Saccharomyces cerevisiae S288C: one gene and its partners. The protein of the gene in region 1 purifies or fractionates together with the protein of each later gene. This does not show direct contact. Each region holds a gene or a part of one and is shown in the gene's direction. Other genes may lie near its edges. The genes, in order: YGR054W, KRE33, RIO2 and DED1.

Region 1 (4,799 bases):
CAAGATTATGGTTGATACCTTATTAAAGGTATCGAACGCTAAAGAGAGGTCGATGGAGAATTTCATCAATGAAGTTGATTCTGCATGGAACAAAGATAGCTCGATGGACAGCTGCTTCTCGTACCAAAATAAGATTGATCTGTTTTGGGAACAGTGGTCTGTGAACACGGAAACAGTACCAGCAAAGTTCCAATTGAAAAATTTTGAGAAACCTTGCCTAATTCAAGATGGAAAATAAGAAGTAAAAAAGACCTTTTGAAAGTTTCGCCTCATTTTCCTTGATCTGACTTTTTATCCCCTGCTTATCCAATTTTAGTTAGGAACTTTGGCATAATTTCAGTATTACATACTACCTAATCGACATAAAATAATATTACATATTCATTTTTTTAAAAAATAATCATAATCAATTTATCCTTTTTATTCCTTTTTTCTCCTGTGCAAGGTTGATGGTGATGTTTATGATGGTGTGTTTATTATTTACAAATAAAGATGCTATCTAATTCTTGTATATCGTATTAACATGCAAATGCACCGCGAGTGGCAATTTTCTTCTCGTAATGGATCAGTTCAACATCTTCAATGGTATGAACCAGAATTTTCGAATTTTCTTCGTTAAATTCGAATATGAATGTTCCCTTAATCAGCCGGGATAATCTCTTTTTTTTACTTCTTTTACCGTCGCCATCATTTTTCTTCTTCTCATCTTCTTTGGAATTTTGAGTTTCGTTGACCTTATTTTCCATTGACCTTTCAGCTGCATTTTCAAGGTACTCAGAGATAACACTTTGGTTCAAATTATTGGCTGTAGGATGTAAAATGTAGTCTATGACTGGTACCGACCTCATTGAAAATGAACCGCCTGCACCATTGCCTCGTTTCTCCTCTTTCAATCTGTCATTAATTTCTAATTTGGTAATCTTGCAATGGTCTTCCGGTATGCAGCTTTGCCATTTGATCACCAATTTGTCATTACATGTTATGGTATTATAACTCTGAAGAGCAGATTTAACTTCTTCATCATGCGATGTCGATGTTAGAGTCTTTACTGAACTTATATGCAAGCGACATTCATCGCCCAAGATAAACTTTCGTACTATCATTCGCATTGCATTCAAAGAAGCCATGTATTTTGATTTTCCATGTAACACTGGAATATATGGATGCGATGTTGGAAATAGTCTAAAAACAACGTTATCCGCCAACACTGACTCCTTGAACATTTTTTGTAACAAATTGGGAACACCTTTAACCACTAAATAATCTGTTATTTGCCCCAAATTGGCCACTTTTTGAGAATTGGAGTACCATCGAGGAAAGATTCCTTTGATAGATATTATGCCGGCTCTGCAAACACACTTTAGTAACATAAGTCTTTCCCCCTATTATCTATGAATATAAACTGTCTATCTTTCCTTGGTTGTGATGTATCGTTTTCCGTAGAGGCTTGCAGCTTTATGGCTCATACCTGTCATCCCTCTTTATGGGCCTTTTAAGGGCGCTCTCTACATTGTATTCTATTCATTTTTTTCGTAACCGTAACTACGCGCCTTCTTAACGCAAGGCGCTCGACTCATCATGAGATGCGTATGAATGTCTTTCAGTGTATAGAAATACATCTCACCAAATCTATTTATTTAACTAATATTTCTTTTAATATTTTCCTCAAGAAACTCAGGCAGTTAATGTTGTGTCCTATTTTTTTTAGTTCTTTCCCATTTTTATAGCACTCGTACAAAAGAAATCGAAATATTTCAATATGTTTAGACTCGGTTCTATGTGTTAAAACTGCAAGATGAAAAAGTAACATCTATCTTAGATTAAGGTCCTTTCTTTATATTCTTTACTTTATTAGTGAGCAGAAATATTATTAAAAATTGCCGCTGTCATACTGTACGATATTATTACCCGACCGCAGAATGTTCCTCAATACTTTCTTTTTCTTCCTTTTTTTCACTTCGCTTTCTTCATGTCCATCAATGAAATTTCAGCTTCATAGCGATTTATTTTCAGTGTACGTTATTCAATGAAGATTCCTTTTCCTCGATCTATCCAGACGACTAGACATAGCGAGAATTCTTTACGGTAGAAGCAACCTATAGATTACCGAATCATAACTTTCTTTAGTGTTGATTGAGACGTGTTGTGTTTAAACTATCCATTGCATCTCGATAAAAAAACATAGTACTACAACAAACAGTCAGGTTCAATAACACCTAAACATTATGTCATCTCAGTTTTTCCTGAAAACCTCTCAGGATATAGAGCTCTTCCAAAGCTACCCAACTTTTGAGCAATCCAACACAAACTCCAAGGATTTCCCTGTCATTTCCTCGGTTTTATCGCCATGTGGCAGATTTTTGGCTTTATCTACGAAGGAGAACGTCAAAGTTTTTACAGGTCCATGTTTGGATAACGTTCTATTAACAATGAAGTTGTCCGACGTCTATGACCTACACTTCTCTCCAGCAGGTAACTACTTAAGCACTTGGGAGAGAGCGTCTATACAAGACCCAAATCACAAGAACGTTAAAGTTTGGTATTTGAATAAACCATTTAAGAAAGATTGCGTTTCGGAGGATATAGTCCCTGCTTACGAATATCAAGCCAAATCCCAAAGCGGTTGGTTTTTACAATTCTCCAAATTAGACAATTATGGGCTAAGACTTTTTAAACACGACTTGAAGATTGTTAAATTAAGCTCCGCTAATGCCGACAATTTCGACTTCCAATCTCCGTTTGCTGTCTTGTCTGATGATGAAACGTCCCAACATTTCACCACCTACCTAATCTCTCCAGCTGAACATCCAACAATTTGTACTTTCACACCAGAAAAGGGTGGTAAACCGGCTCAATTAATCATATGGGCCCTCTCTGAAGGTAAAATCACCAAGAAAATTGCCTCCAAAACTTTCTTTAAAGCTGATTCCTGCCAATTGAAATGGAATCCATTAGGTAATGCTATTTTATGTTTAGCTATTACTGATTTTGATTCCTCAAACAAATCATATTATGGTGAAAACACACTATACTTACTGTCTTTCCAAGGTGTCAACGGGACTTTGGGTGGTAACTCTGTACGTGTTTCTTTAACCACTGGACCTGTCCACGATTTCACTTGGTCGCCAACTTCAAGGCAATTCGGTGTCATCGCTGGTTACATGCCAGCAACCATTTCCTTTTTTGACTTAAGAGGTAATGTTGTCCATTCATTACCTCAACAAGCCAAAAATACCATGCTTTTCTCTCCCTCTGGTCATTACATTCTTATCGCCGGGTTTGGTAATTTACAGGGCTCCGTGGAAATCCTAGATCGTCTCGACAAATTCAAGTGTGTGAGTAAATTTGACGCTACCAACACTTCTGTCTGCAAATGGTCACCGGGTGGAGAATTTATCATGACAGCTACCACTTCACCAAGATTGAGAGTGGATAACGGCGTTAAAATATGGCATGTATCAGGCTCTTTAGTATTTGTTAAAGAGTTCAAGGAGCTTTTGAAGGTAGACTGGAGGTCACCATGTAATTACAAAACTTTGGAAAACAAAGACGAAGCATTTTTCGAGAACCATATCATTAATAACTGGGAACCGCTACCTGATTCGACCACATCTTCACTTGATCCTAAAATATCCAATAAATCAGAATTGCAAATACATTCTAGCGTTCAAGAGTACATAAGTCAACACCCAAGCAGAGAAGCAAGCTCCAATGGAAACGGATCTAAGGCCAAAGCTGGAGGCGCTTATAAACCACCTCACGCAAGAAGAACAGGCGGTGGACGTATTGTCCCCGGAGTTCCTCCTGGTGCAGCAAAGAAGACCATCCCAGGGCTAGTTCCGGGCATGAGTGCCAACAAGGACGCCAACACCAAGAACAGGAGAAGAAGAGCCAATAAAAAGTCAAGTGAAACGTCACCTGATTCTACTCCGGCCCCATCTGCTCCTGCCTCCACAAATGCCCCCACAAACAATAAAGAAACTTCTCCAGAGGAGAAGAAAATAAGATCTTTACTAAAGAAATTAAGGGCTATTGAAACCTTGAAGGAAAGACAGGCCGTCGGTGACAAACTAGAAGATACGCAAGTTCTAAAAATTCAAACTGAAGAAAAAGTGTTGAAAGATTTGGAAAAGTTGGGTTGGAAGGATGAATAAACTAGAAGAAACTGATGTATCCATACAACTGTGTAAATATTAACAACGTCAAATAATACTACTTTGAATTGTTTTTTACTGTTTCCCAGGAGAATTACGCCAACCTCCCCCCTTTCTTTTTTTCCCTTGTTTTATTGTACTTTTCCACATATTTTTTTAACATCAAATAGTAATTGATACATACATAATTAGTGAGCATTTTCCTTATTTTTACGTCTCTTCTTGGCGGATTGCCACCAGCCGCATCTTACAATGTATGCCACGATACCGCCAGGCAATAAATGAATATGGAGTGTCACTTCGGCTCCGTAAGCCGGCGCTGCATCCGCCACCACAGTTTTTTTTAGCGTCGCTGTCGCCGCTTTGCCACAGAAAAAGAAAAAAAAAAAAGAAACGGCGCCGTGTAGGGTTTTGTATAACAGATCGGCCTAGCAGCCAGGAGATGGCACGGCGCCAACTGAAAAGTTAGACTGTGGAATTGCCGTTCACCACACTCGAGTGGCATCTAATAAACTGCCACAGTTGACTCAAGCGGTGCTACCTTCGCAGTTATTGCACACCATGGTAACACATAACACAGTCTTGCATTACAAATGTGGTTCCTCCTACTTGGCGGTGAATTTCTTGAGTCAGCCCGTTATTTTC
Region 2 (5,944 bases), on another chromosome or scaffold:
GATGGGTTGATCTCTTTGCGCTTTGGAGGGCTTCCATGTCATGTCCAAGCCAAAACTATGTGTAAGGATCATACCAGCCGTGGTCAATGAGACTGGGAGGGATACTGCCCCTTCTAAAGATTTTACGGGGCCTTCTGGTAGCTTGTCTTTACCGCACAATCTAAACTCTCTGGCTGGTTTATAAGCAGTCTCGGATGAAATGGCAGAGTACTCAGCAAAGGCACCGTTTGAGGGGAACCTCACTGAAGCACCGTGAATAACCCCATAAATGTAATCACCAATGGCAAAGCGTGCAGCATCAACATTTGGGCCCAACTTTACGATTTGGCCGGCTGCATCACAGCCTAAGAGGGCACCTTGAGGACCAATCTTGAAATCAATATGTTTCCAATCGGTAGGGTTACCGGCAACGGCGACAGTCTTAATTAGAACAAATCCTTCTTCTAATTCAGGAATTGGAATGTCCTGTTTGACTACAGCCTTGCCATTTTCAATGACAACGGCTTTCATGGTTTCTGGAATCGAGGCGGACATGCTTGATATGCAGTATGATATTGCTTTTTGCTGTGTATAGTTAACGATTTTTTTTCAACTAGAATTACAGTACTAATCAAGAAGTGAGAGGAAGAAAACGGCAAAAAAAAAACTCTCTCCTTTTAAATCGAAGCATTGCCGAAATACCTTAAAAACGGTCTTAAATCCTTAACATCTGTCCTTACTAATCGATGCCAATCCAACGGAGGGAGCCCATATGCTAGGTACTAAGAGTACGCAGGGGCGGAACCGCGCGACAACCGTAAGCGGATCCGAGGAACTTTAGTCAGCAGGGGCTGTGATGACCATTAAAAAATTGCGGACACAGGTAGTGGAACGAGCAATCAATGTGATCAATTTGCCATTTCATTCCACGAAATGGTTTCCATTCTAAGCATGAATGCTTTGACGTTACGGGTGTTGGTTATTTCGGTTCTTTTTATTGCTTCCGTGGGCACGTACGAGAAGGGAAGATGAATAGAAAAAGAGTTTCCGAGTTTTGTATGTCCAATGTTTACATAATTTATATAACTTGAAGTTTAATCTTGGCATAAAGCTCTAGTTGTGACGAAGTGTGTAGGCCATCACATCAGTTCTCCAGTTTTCTACCCAATTTTTTTATGGATACCTTGATTTTTGGTTTAGGGCTGGATGTCTTTACGCCCTTTATTTGTGTTTTACTGCCCAAACTAGTGCCGGTCTCTAAATATTTTTCTGTATTAGTAGTAGAATCGTTCTCCATTAGTAATGCTTTTTTTTTCTTTTCAAAATTGATTGCCTTGACGTCTAAGTAGTTATTCAGTTCTTTTTCCTTTTTTAGCAACTCATTCTTGCTCTTCTGGTAAAATTCCAGGTCCTCTTTACTCAACCTAGTAAAACTTTCACGGTCTCTCACCAAACCGTTATATTGTTTTTGTTTACTAATAGCATTAGACCTAAGCTGATCTCGCAGGGACTTCCTGGTTTTCCTTTTATATTCCGCTTCATATTTTTTTTGCTCCACTTGCTCTCGTATCCTCTGGGCCTCTACATTACCAACTCCTTCTGACACGAATTTCAGTGGTTTTTTCTCTCTTGCACTATTAGCATTATTATCACTGGTAGATGACATGATGATATAACAGAGCCCACAGTCTTTTGTTGGAACCGCTTTCTCTAGGCTTCGATGGACTTACATCTAATTGCACATTCTCGTGCGTTTAAACGTCATTTTTCCCTCAGATTGGCAGTGCATCAAAAGTAATTCCTAGGGACGACAAAAAGGCGGAAAAGGTTTCAGAAAAATAAGCGGACTTAGCTCAGTTGGGAGAGCGCCAGACTGAAGAAAAACTTCGGTCAAGTCATCTGGAGGTCCTGTGTTCGATCCACAGAGTTCGCAATTTGAAAAATTTTTTTTAATGATTACGCATGTGGATGTGTTCAGTATCAACCGATGCTCGCTTTTCCAATCAAATGATACAAGCCAGACCGAACATTGCATGTTTTCCATTGTAACTTCCCAGGTATATCTGAATTAGTTGTAAAAAGTAATAGTTTACCCGGAATCGTGTGAAAAATTTTGAAAAAAAAAAATGAAGAGCCAAGATACAATGAGATGAGATGAGGTGCTGAAGATGCATGGAGATTCTGTATTTATCTCAAATAAAGTACGCAATAGAGTATATAAGCCAAGTCACCTTTTATATTTCTTAGTTTTTAACTTGCAAAGACTTATAAGAGACTTATAAAACAAGGAGAAAATGGCCAAAAAAGCTATCGATTCAAGAATCCCGTCACTGATCAGGAATGGTGTTCAAACCAAACAAAGGTCCATATTTGTCATCGTTGGGGACAGGGCACGTAACCAGCTCCCAAATTTACATTATTTGATGATGAGTGCTGACCTTAAGATGAACAAGTCCGTCTTATGGGCTTATAAGAAGAAGCTTCTAGGATTCACTTCGCACAGAAAAAAAAGAGAGAATAAAATTAAGAAAGAAATTAAAAGAGGTACAAGGGAAGTGAATGAAATGGACCCTTTTGAATCTTTTATCTCTAACCAAAATATCAGATATGTATACTACAAAGAGAGTGAGAAAATATTGGGTAATACCTATGGTATGTGTATTCTTCAGGACTTCGAGGCATTAACCCCAAATCTTTTAGCAAGAACCATTGAAACTGTAGAAGGTGGTGGTATTGTGGTTATTTTATTGAAATCAATGTCATCGTTAAAGCAACTGTACACCATGACTATGGATGTTCACGCCCGTTATCGTACTGAGGCTCATGGTGACGTTGTTGCAAGATTTAACGAAAGATTCATACTTTCTTTAGGTTCAAATCCAAACTGTTTAGTCGTTGATGATGAATTAAATGTTCTACCGCTATCTGGTGCCAAAAACGTGAAACCACTACCTCCTAAGGAAGATGACGAATTGCCTCCAAAGCAATTAGAGTTGCAAGAATTAAAAGAATCCTTAGAAGATGTCCAACCAGCTGGTTCATTGGTTTCTCTATCCAAAACTGTCAATCAAGCCCACGCTATTCTTTCTTTCATTGATGCCATTTCGGAAAAAACTTTGAATTTCACAGTTGCACTAACAGCTGGAAGAGGTAGAGGTAAGTCTGCTGCTTTAGGTATTTCTATTGCCGCGGCCGTTTCTCACGGGTATTCTAATATTTTTGTTACTTCTCCATCTCCCGAAAATTTAAAGACTCTATTTGAGTTTATTTTCAAAGGATTCGATGCCTTAGGTTACCAAGAACACATTGATTATGATATCATTCAATCTACGAACCCCGACTTCAACAAAGCCATTGTGAGAGTTGATATTAAAAGAGATCACAGACAAACGATTCAATATATTGTTCCTCAAGACCATCAAGTTCTGGGCCAAGCTGAATTAGTTGTCATTGATGAAGCTGCAGCTATTCCTTTGCCAATCGTCAAGAACTTGCTGGGCCCATATCTAGTCTTCATGGCATCCACTATCAATGGTTACGAAGGTACGGGTAGATCTTTATCTCTGAAGTTAATTCAGCAATTGCGTAATCAAAACAACACATCCGGTCGGGAAAGTACTCAAACCGCCGTTGTTTCGAGAGATAATAAGGAAAAAGACTCTCACTTACATTCTCAATCCCGTCAATTACGTGAAATTTCCTTGGACGAACCAATCAGATATGCTCCTGGTGACCCAATTGAAAAATGGTTAAACAAGCTCTTATGTTTAGATGTTACTTTAATTAAAAACCCAAGATTTGCAACAAGAGGAACTCCTCACCCATCCCAATGTAATCTATTTGTTGTCAATAGAGATACTCTATTTTCTTATCATCCTGTCTCAGAAAATTTCCTGGAAAAAATGATGGCACTGTACGTTTCATCCCATTACAAGAATTCTCCAAACGACTTACAACTGATGAGTGACGCCCCAGCGCACAAACTATTTGTTCTTTTACCACCAATTGATCCAAAGGATGGCGGCAGGATCCCTGACCCTCTATGTGTCATTCAAATTGCATTGGAAGGTGAAATCAGTAAGGAGAGTGTCAGAAATTCATTATCGAGAGGCCAAAGAGCTGGTGGTGATTTAATCCCATGGCTGATCTCTCAACAATTCCAAGACGAGGAATTCGCTAGTTTGAGTGGTGCTCGTATCGTCAGAATTGCCACTAATCCTGAATACGCATCCATGGGCTATGGTTCTCGTGCAATTGAATTACTGAGAGACTATTTCGAGGGTAAATTCACTGACATGTCTGAAGATGTTCGTCCTAAGGATTATTCTATAAAGAGGGTGAGCGATAAGGAACTGGCCAAAACTAATTTATTAAAGGATGACGTTAAATTAAGAGACGCAAAAACGTTGCCACCTCTACTATTAAAACTTTCTGAACAGCCTCCTCATTATCTACATTATTTGGGTGTTTCATATGGTTTAACGCAATCGTTGCATAAATTCTGGAAGAATAACAGCTTTGTTCCTGTTTATTTACGTCAAACCGCAAACGATTTAACTGGTGAACATACTTGTGTTATGTTGAACGTTTTGGAAGGCAGAGAATCAAACTGGCTCGTTGAATTTGCCAAAGATTTCCGTAAAAGATTTCTGTCGCTTCTTTCTTATGATTTTCATAAGTTTACTGCCGTTCAAGCCTTAAGTGTCATTGAAAGTAGTAAGAAAGCACAAGATTTGTCTGATGACGAAAAGCATGATAATAAAGAATTGACGCGGACGCATCTGGATGACATTTTTTCTCCATTTGACTTGAAAAGATTGGATAGCTACTCAAATAATTTGCTAGATTATCACGTTATCGGTGATATGATACCCATGCTTGCTCTTTTGTACTTCGGCGATAAAATGGGAGATTCAGTAAAACTATCAAGCGTCCAGAGTGCTATCCTGTTGGCTATAGGGTTACAGCGTAAAAACATCGACACTATTGCCAAGGAATTGAATTTACCTTCCAATCAAACTATTGCTATGTTTGCGAAGATCATGAGAAAAATGTCTCAGTACTTCCGTCAGCTGTTAAGCCAATCAATTGAAGAAACTCTACCAAATATCAAAGATGATGCTATTGCTGAAATGGATGGTGAAGAAATCAAAAATTACAACGCTGCAGAAGCACTGGACCAAATGGAAGAAGATTTAGAAGAAGCCGGTTCTGAAGCCGTTCAGGCGATGAGGGAAAAACAAAAAGAGCTAATCAACTCCTTGAACTTAGATAAATACGCCATAAATGATAACAGTGAGGAATGGGCTGAATCTCAAAAATCTTTAGAAATAGCTGCCAAGGCCAAAGGCGTCGTCAGTTTAAAAACTGGTAAAAAGAGAACGACTGAAAAGGCTGAAGATATCTATAGACAAGAGATGAAAGCTATGAAAAAACCAAGAAAGTCTAAAAAGGCTGCAAATTAAGCGTTCTACTCTTTGTCAAACCCTTTTATAGCTAAACGTTTACTTAATTTGTACAATAATATAGAATAGAAACATAGTTGATGTTTGAACCTTTACATATTCCTTTCAATCGTGTCGAGCGATATAAGTATTACGATTATGCCGGCGAAAACTGAACCCGTTTTAGACAATTTCAATCAACATACTCCACTCCGTAGTGAGTAACTTTTGGAGTAATACGAAGTAACCAAAGAGGTCAAAACGGAACTATATACCCCAAAATAAGCATCATTCAAATGGTCGAATTAACTGAAATTAAAGACGATGTCGTTCAATTAGACGAACCACAATTTTCCAGAAATCAGGCCATCGTGGAAGAAAAGGCTTCTGCAACAAACAACGACGTTGTCGATGATGAAGATGACTCTGATAGTGATTTTGAAGATGAATTTGATGAAAATGAAACATTGTTGGACAGAATCGTTGCTTTAAAAGACATTGTCCCCCCAGGTAAGAGACAA
Region 3 (3,725 bases), on another chromosome or scaffold:
GAACGTGTCAACTGTAAAGAAAACACTTTGTTGGGTGAATTCGACTTGAAGAACATCCCAATGATGCCAGCTGGTGAACCAGTCTTGGAAGCTATCTTCGAAGTTGATGCTAACGGTATCTTGAAGGTTACTGCCGTCGAAAAGTCTACCGGTAAGTCTTCTAACATCACTATCTCCAACGCTGTCGGTAGATTGTCTTCTGAAGAAATTGAAAAGATGGTTAACCAAGCCGAAGAGTTCAAGGCTGCTGATGAAGCTTTTGCTAAGAAGCACGAAGCTAGACAAAGACTAGAATCCTACGTCGCTTCCATCGAACAAACCGTCACTGACCCAGTCTTGTCTTCTAAATTGAAGAGAGGTTCCAAGTCCAAGATCGAAGCTGCTTTGTCCGATGCTTTGGCTGCTTTGCAAATCGAAGACCCATCCGCTGATGAGTTGAGAAAGGCAGAAGTTGGTTTGAAGAGAGTTGTCACCAAGGCCATGTCTTCTCGTTAAGATGTCATTCTGGTTAAGGTTATACACATATATATATTTTTCATTTTTAATGTCTTAGCTTTTGTATCTTAGATGAAGTTTTAGTTCTGTATATCACGATCAAGATATCATACAATCATAAATTCAATTATTCTTCTGTTTCCCCTCTTGAGGCATCAAACGAGTGTTTGACTGATACACACCAACATACTAAGGCAACTTTTCTGGCTGCCCAAAGCTGTGGCACGTATGAAACTGCTTTTCGGCTGCATAAAACAACCATGTGGAGTTTTTACTGTATTCGCATTTCGCCCCGCTAGCATTCTTCGTTCATGCTAAAAATGAGGCGTGGGCTAATATTCAGTATTAATAATTCCGGCACCCGCACAGCCCATACCGGAAAAGGGGCTGGCTGTTGGGCTTGGCAAAAAACTCAATCTGAGCAGTCATTTATAAAGAAAGACTTTAATTTGTCTTGCTAAACACTTGTAAGCCTTCCAAATATAGATCACTTAAGACAATCTAACAAGTGTCCAAAATGTCTGCAAACGAATTCTACTCAAGTGGCCAACAAGGTCAATATAACCAGCAAAACAACCAAGAAAGAACTGGTGCTCCAAACAACGGTCAATATGGTGCCGACAATGGTAACCCCAACGGTGAACGTGGTTTATTTTCCACTATTGTAGGTGGCAGTGCCGGTGCGTACGCTGGATCTAAGGTGTCGAACAACCATTCTAAGTTGAGTGGTGTGCTGGGCGCCATAGGTGGTGCATTCCTTGCCAACAAGATATCTGATGAGCGTAAAGAGCATAAGCAACAAGAGCAATACGGCAACTCAAACTTCGGAGGTGCTCCTCAAGGTGGACACAACAACCATCACCGTCAGGACAATAACAACAATAACGGTGGATTTGGCGGTCCAGGCGGCCCTGGCGGTCAAGGTTTCGGAAGACAAGGCCCACAAGGATTTGGAGGTCCTGGTCCACAAGAGTTTGGTGGTCCAGGTGGCCAAGGATTCGGTGGTCCAAATCCTCAAGAATTCGGCGGGCCAGGTGGCCAAGGATTCGGTGGTCCAAACCCTCAGGAATTCGGGGGCCAAGGTCGTCAAGGATTCAATGGCGGTTCACGTTGGTGAATGGCTCAACAGAGTGAGTGTCATTTTTAGCTAACTACATACTTGATTTATCTATATATACATATATACTACTCGTTTTATTATGATGTCGTAACAAATGACTTATTCGAGAAAAGAAAACGTGAAAAAATAAGCTAAAAATTTGGCGATGAGGTTCTCTGTTGAAGTTGGAACCCGCAATTCATGATTTTGGTAAGGTCAAGGATCATCAGTAATTAGCTTAAAGTAAGAACTACTCAATAATATTAAACCATTTATCCTTGGCTCGTCTTTCTATTGACCAATCAATACTATTTTAAACATCTCTTCTACCACATACTTTCAATCAGACTAGAATGAAATTGGATACTTCTCATATGAGATATTTGACAACTGATGATTTTCGTGTCCTCCAGGCCGTTGAACAAGGTTCTAGAAGTCACGAAGTCGTTCCAACTCCCTTGATTCATCAAATCTCGGGGATGAGATCGCAGTCCGGAACAAACCGAGCCATTAGTGATTTGGCCAAGCTTAGCCTTATTTCCAAAATGAGAAATGTCAAATATGATGGTTACAGGCTAACTTATAACGGTATTGATTATTTGGCTTTGAAAACCATGTTAAACAGAGACACTGTCTATTCTGTCGGTAACACTATTGGTGTTGGTAAGGAATCTGACATCTATAAAGTAAGTGACAAAAATGGAAACCCTAGAGTAATGAAAATTCACAGATTAGGTAGAACCTCTTTTCATTCCGTCAGAAATAATAGAGATTATCTGAAGAAATCCAACCAGGGGGCAAACTGGATGCATCTTTCACGTTTGGCAGCCAATAAAGAATATCAGTTTATGTCCATGCTTTATTCTAAGGGTTTCAAGGTCCCTGAGCCATTCGATAACTCGCGTCATATAGTCGTTATGGAGCTTATCGAGGGTTACCCAATGAGGAGATTAAGAAAACATAAGAATATACCCAAGCTTTATAGTGATCTGATGTGTTTCATCGTTGATCTAGCAAATAGCGGACTTATCCATTGTGATTTTAATGAGTTTAATATTATGATAAAGGACAAACTAGAGGATGAAAACGATTGTGGGTTCGTAGTTATTGATTTTCCACAATGTATATCTATTCAACACCAAGACGCCGACTATTATTTCCAAAGGGATGTTGACTGTATTCGTCGTTTCTTCAAAAAGAAACTGAAGTACGAACCAAAACCTGATTCATCAATGCTCGACACTGAAGGTTTCGGCGATGGTTATAAATATGCGTATCCAGATTTCAAAAGGGACGTTAAAAGAACCGACAATTTGGATGAATTGGTGCAGGCTTCCGGATTTAGCAAAAAGCATCCAGGAGATAGGGGCCTGGAAACTGCCGTTGAAAGCATGAGAAATGCTGTTTATAATTCAGATGACGATATGTCTAATGACGAGGCCGAAGAAGAAAATGGGGAGGGCGATTATTCAGAGGAGGATGAATACTATGACTCCGAACTTGATAATGAAAGTTCTGAAGATGACAGTGAAGATGCACAAGAAGAGGAGAACGAACGTATTATAGAGGCGCTTTCCAGTGGTGTTGAAAATCTAAAAATGGATAAACTAGGAAACTATATACTAGAGTAGTTTAGTTTAGACGACTGCATAAATGGCCGCAAATAATCAAGTTGTTATCCATAATTTTTTTGATTTTTAAGCCATGTTATTCTTCAGGATAAAAAAAGTGGTATTTATGAACTCTTACATATGCGTATTCATGCTATATTATAATATCGAATCTAAGTCAATCGTATTCTACTCCGGATCCATCCTCATCATCTTCATCGTCATCATTATCAATTTCTATCGGAATATCTTCGAGTTCTAACGGCTCCTTAAACTCTTTGTATTGGAGTTCCTGTTCTGGTTGACCATTTATAGAAGCAAAACTATTATCTCTATTCAAAGCGCTTTGGCCCTTTTTGTCTTCCTCTTCATCGTCTTCTTCATCATCTTCTTCTGCTTCCTCTCCGTCTTCTGCACCGTCTGAGGATTCTTGGCCACTCCCATCGGAAAGGTCGCTCTCAGCTTCGAAATTTTGGTCATTTTCTTCATCATCGTCTGAAAACACACCTGCCTTTTTCTCG
Region 4 (4,464 bases), on another chromosome or scaffold:
TAGGAATAGTGCCATGGTACAGCAACCGAGAATGGCAATTTCTACTCGGGTTCAGCAACGCTGCATAAACGCTGTTGGTGCCGTAGACATATTCGAAGATAGGATTATCATTCATAAGTTTCAGAGCAATGTCCTTATTCTGGAACTTGGATTTATGGCTCTTTTGGTTTAATTTCGCCTGATTCTTGATCTCCTTTAGCTTCTCGACGTGGGCCTTTTTCTTGCCATATGGATCCGCTGCACGGTCCTGTTCCCTAGCATGTACGTGAGCGTATTTCCTTTTAAACCACGACGCTTTGTCTTCATTCAACGTTTCCCATTGTTTTTTTCTACTATTGCTTTGCTGTGGGAAAAACTTATCGAAAGATGACGACTTTTTCTTAATTCTCGTTTTAAGAGCTTGGTGAGCGCTAGGAGTCACTGCCAGGTATCGTTTGAACACGGCATTAGTCAGGGAAGTCATAACACAGTCCTTTCCCGCAATTTTCTTTTTCTATTACTCTTGGCCTCCTCTAGTACACTCTATATTTTTTTATGCCTCGGTAATGATTTTCATTTTTTTTTTTCCACCTAGCGGATGACTCTTTTTTTTTCTTAGCGATTGGCATTATCACATAATGAATTATACATTATATAAAGTAATGTGATTTCTTCGAAGAATATACTAAAAAATGAGCAGGCAAGATAAACGAAGGCAAAGATGACAGAGCAGAAAGCCCTAGTAAAGCGTATTACAAATGAAACCAAGATTCAGATTGCGATCTCTTTAAAGGGTGGTCCCCTAGCGATAGAGCACTCGATCTTCCCAGAAAAAGAGGCAGAAGCAGTAGCAGAACAGGCCACACAATCGCAAGTGATTAACGTCCACACAGGTATAGGGTTTCTGGACCATATGATACATGCTCTGGCCAAGCATTCCGGCTGGTCGCTAATCGTTGAGTGCATTGGTGACTTACACATAGACGACCATCACACCACTGAAGACTGCGGGATTGCTCTCGGTCAAGCTTTTAAAGAGGCCCTAGGGGCCGTGCGTGGAGTAAAAAGGTTTGGATCAGGATTTGCGCCTTTGGATGAGGCACTTTCCAGAGCGGTGGTAGATCTTTCGAACAGGCCGTACGCAGTTGTCGAACTTGGTTTGCAAAGGGAGAAAGTAGGAGATCTCTCTTGCGAGATGATCCCGCATTTTCTTGAAAGCTTTGCAGAGGCTAGCAGAATTACCCTCCACGTTGATTGTCTGCGAGGCAAGAATGATCATCACCGTAGTGAGAGTGCGTTCAAGGCTCTTGCGGTTGCCATAAGAGAAGCCACCTCGCCCAATGGTACCAACGATGTTCCCTCCACCAAAGGTGTTCTTATGTAGTGACACCGATTATTTAAAGCTGCAGCATACGATATATATACATGTGTATATATGTATACCTATGAATGTCAGTAAGTATGTATACGAACAGTATGATACTGAAGATGACAAGGTAATGCATCATTCTATACGTGTCATTCTGAACGAGGCGCGCTTTCCTTTTTTCTTTTTGCTTTTTCTTTTTTTTTCTCTTGAACTCGAGAAAAAAAATATAAAAGAGATGGAGGAACGGGAAAAAGTTAGTTGTGGTGATAGGTGGCAAGTGGTATTCCGTAAGAACAACAAGAAAAGCATTTCATATTATGGCTGAACTGAGCGAACAAGTGCAAAATTTAAGCATCAACGACAACAACGAGAATGGTTATGTTCCTCCTCACTTAAGAGGAAAACCAAGAAGTGCCAGAAATAACAGTAGCAACTACAATAACAACAACGGCGGCTACAACGGTGGCCGTGGCGGTGGCAGCTTCTTTAGCAACAACCGTCGTGGTGGTTACGGCAACGGTGGTTTCTTCGGTGGAAACAACGGTGGCAGCAGATCTAACGGCCGTTCTGGTGGTAGATGGATCGATGGCAAACATGTCCCAGCTCCAAGAAACGAAAAGGCCGAGATCGCCATATTTGGTGTCCCCGAGGATCCAAATTTCCAATCTTCTGGTATTAACTTCGATAACTACGATGATATTCCAGTGGACGCCTCTGGTAAGGATGTTCCTGAACCAATCACAGAATTTACCTCACCTCCATTGGACGGATTGTTATTGGAAAACATCAAATTGGCCCGTTTCACCAAGCCAACACCTGTGCAAAAATACTCCGTCCCTATCGTTGCCAACGGCAGAGATTTGATGGCCTGTGCGCAGACCGGTTCTGGTAAGACTGGTGGGTTTTTATTCCCAGTGTTGTCCGAATCATTTAAGACTGGACCATCTCCTCAACCAGAGTCTCAAGGCTCCTTTTACCAAAGAAAGGCCTACCCAACTGCTGTCATTATGGCTCCAACTAGAGAGTTGGCCACCCAAATTTTCGATGAAGCCAAGAAATTTACTTATAGATCCTGGGTCAAGGCCTGCGTCGTCTACGGTGGTTCTCCAATTGGTAACCAACTAAGAGAAATTGAACGTGGTTGCGATCTTTTAGTCGCTACTCCAGGTCGTTTGAATGACTTGTTGGAACGTGGTAAAATTTCTTTGGCCAACGTCAAGTATTTGGTTCTAGATGAAGCTGATAGAATGTTGGATATGGGTTTCGAACCTCAAATTAGACATATTGTCGAAGACTGTGATATGACTCCTGTTGGTGAAAGACAAACTCTGATGTTCTCAGCTACTTTTCCCGCTGATATCCAACATTTGGCCCGTGATTTCTTAAGTGACTACATCTTTTTGTCTGTTGGTAGAGTCGGTTCTACTTCAGAAAACATTACTCAAAAAGTCTTATACGTTGAAAATCAAGATAAGAAGTCAGCCTTATTGGATCTATTGTCTGCATCCACTGACGGTTTGACTTTGATCTTTGTCGAAACTAAGAGAATGGCAGATCAATTGACCGATTTCCTGATCATGCAAAACTTTAGAGCTACCGCCATTCATGGTGACCGTACCCAATCTGAGAGAGAACGTGCCTTGGCCGCCTTCAGATCTGGTGCCGCTACTTTATTGGTTGCCACAGCTGTCGCAGCTAGAGGTCTAGATATTCCAAACGTCACCCACGTTATCAACTACGATTTACCAAGTGATGTCGATGATTACGTCCATAGAATTGGTAGAACTGGTCGTGCCGGTAACACCGGTCTTGCCACTGCCTTTTTCAACAGTGAAAACAGTAACATTGTTAAAGGTTTGCATGAAATTTTGACTGAAGCTAACCAAGAAGTCCCATCATTCTTGAAGGACGCTATGATGAGTGCTCCAGGTAGCAGAAGCAACAGCCGTAGAGGCGGTTTCGGTCGCAACAACAACAGAGATTACCGTAAGGCCGGAGGCGCTAGCGCAGGCGGCTGGGGCTCTTCAAGAAGCAGAGATAACTCTTTCAGAGGCGGTAGTGGCTGGGGTAGCGATTCCAAGTCTTCTGGCTGGGGTAACAGCGGTGGTTCAAACAACTCTTCTTGGTGGTGATTTCAGACAAACTAGGGTGAGGATTCTTCGTTTTCTGCTCTAGCATGTCTTATATTTTCTTTCTCCAATCACTTTTTTTATCCAAGTCCTGAAAATACTGTGTTGTTTGTTTCTCTCTAGCCGTTGATTGGCCCCATATTTTTTTTATTTTCTCACTGGGAGCCACTAATCTGTTACTTTTTTTCCACTCTTATTTTTTATCCATCGTTTTTTTGTTTTTTTTTTCTTTCATGGTTCTAATATTATTTTACAATTGTACTATAAAATGCCTTTGCTAATATTAACTAAAAAACTAAAGATTTCACTATGATTATAAGCAATTAAGATTTTCATCTTTTAGTGAAAAGATGAAGGAATTATTATCTACTTTTACTATATTTTCCACTATTTTTGCTTAATTGCTTTAACCGATCTATTCATTGGACTGATTATTTACATTATCTTTTATTTCCACTTCCACTTTTTCAGTTTTCTTCGAATAGAGACTTTATTTTGAACAGTTTTTTCGACCTTTTTTGTTTGTTATTGTTTCTTTTTACCTTACGAAAATATTCTTACTGTTCACAGTACCATTGTATAATAGTATTCATTTCCTTCCTACATTTTCTCTCCCTTTTTTGAGTTGAGGCCTTTTTATTGACTCGCCTTATACTCTACTTTATTTGTGTTTTGTAGATAGAATAAACATCAACAGTATAATTCATAATACTTTCTATTGCTTATTTCCTGTATATTCGTTTTTGAATATACTTTGTTCCCAACTTTCTTTTTAGTTTACTTACATTCATATTTACATGTGCGTTACTACTTATTGGTGCAACCAAGTGAACAGCGAGTCTTACCATTGGTAGTACCAATAGGGATTCTTTTTTTTTTCTAGGTGTTGAACCAAATCATAAGGATCATCGTCGACAAATCTTCTAGCAGATAAATCTTTCTCGGTTTTTTCTAAATACGACTTCTTCACTGCGTTCAAAGTATCAG

The links.
Region 2: the proteins of YGR054W (region 1) and KRE33 purify together in Saccharomyces cerevisiae (affinity purification with mass spectrometry, with the first as the bait; 2 studies listed by BioGRID). This does not show direct contact.
Region 3: the proteins of YGR054W (region 1) and RIO2 purify together in Saccharomyces cerevisiae (affinity purification with mass spectrometry; 3 studies listed by BioGRID). This does not show direct contact.
Region 4: the proteins of YGR054W (region 1) and DED1 purify together in Saccharomyces cerevisiae (affinity purification with mass spectrometry, with the first as the bait; 3 studies listed by BioGRID). This does not show direct contact.

Annotation. Positions count from the first base shown.
Region 1 is NC_001139.9:594,468-599,266, forward strand, and holds YGR054W (translation initiation factor 2A), read left to right. Parts: upstream 1-2,225; coding exon 2,226-4,154; downstream 4,155-4,799. Other genes in the region: protein kinase FMP48, read left to right, coding at 1-238; MCO32 (Mco32p), read right to left, coding at 519-1,370. UniProt on the Saccharomyces cerevisiae protein: Functions in the early steps of protein synthesis of a small number of specific mRNAs. Acts by directing the binding of methionyl-tRNAi to 40S ribosomal subunits.
Region 2 is NC_001146.8:373,048-378,991, forward strand, and holds KRE33 (ribosome biosynthesis protein KRE33), read left to right. Parts: upstream 1-2,273; coding exon 2,274-5,444; downstream 5,445-5,944. Other genes in the region: YNL134C (uncharacterized protein), read right to left, coding at 1-534; FYV6 (Fyv6p), read right to left, coding at 1,124-1,645; TOM22 (Tom22p), read left to right, coding at 5,720-5,944. UniProt on the Saccharomyces cerevisiae protein: RNA cytidine acetyltransferase with specificity toward both 18S rRNA and tRNAs. Catalyzes the formation of N(4)-acetylcytidine (ac4C) at positions 1280 and 1773 in 18S rRNA.
Region 3 is NC_001146.8:253,406-257,130, forward strand, and holds RIO2 (protein kinase RIO2), read left to right. Parts: upstream 1-1,947; coding exon 1,948-3,225; downstream 3,226-3,725. Other genes in the region: Hsp70 family ATPase SSB2, read left to right, coding at 1-495; YNL208W (uncharacterized protein), read left to right, coding at 1,013-1,612; RTT106 (Rtt106p), read right to left, coding at 3,383-3,725. UniProt on the Saccharomyces cerevisiae protein: Required for the final endonucleolytic cleavage of 20S pre-rRNA at site D in the cytoplasm, converting it into the mature 18S rRNA. Involved in normal export of the pre-40S particles from the nucleus to the cytoplasm.
Region 4 is NC_001147.6:721,246-725,709, forward strand, and holds DED1 (DEAD-box ATP-dependent RNA helicase DED1), read left to right. Parts: upstream 1-1,665; coding exon 1,666-3,480; downstream 3,481-4,464. Other genes in the region: MRM1 (Mrm1p), read right to left, coding at 1-463; imidazoleglycerol-phosphate dehydratase HIS3, read left to right, coding at 701-1,363; GEP3 (Gep3p), read right to left, coding at 4,319-4,464. UniProt on the Saccharomyces cerevisiae protein: ATP-binding RNA helicase involved in translation initiation. Remodels RNA in response to ADP and ATP concentrations by facilitating disruption, but also formation of RNA duplexes.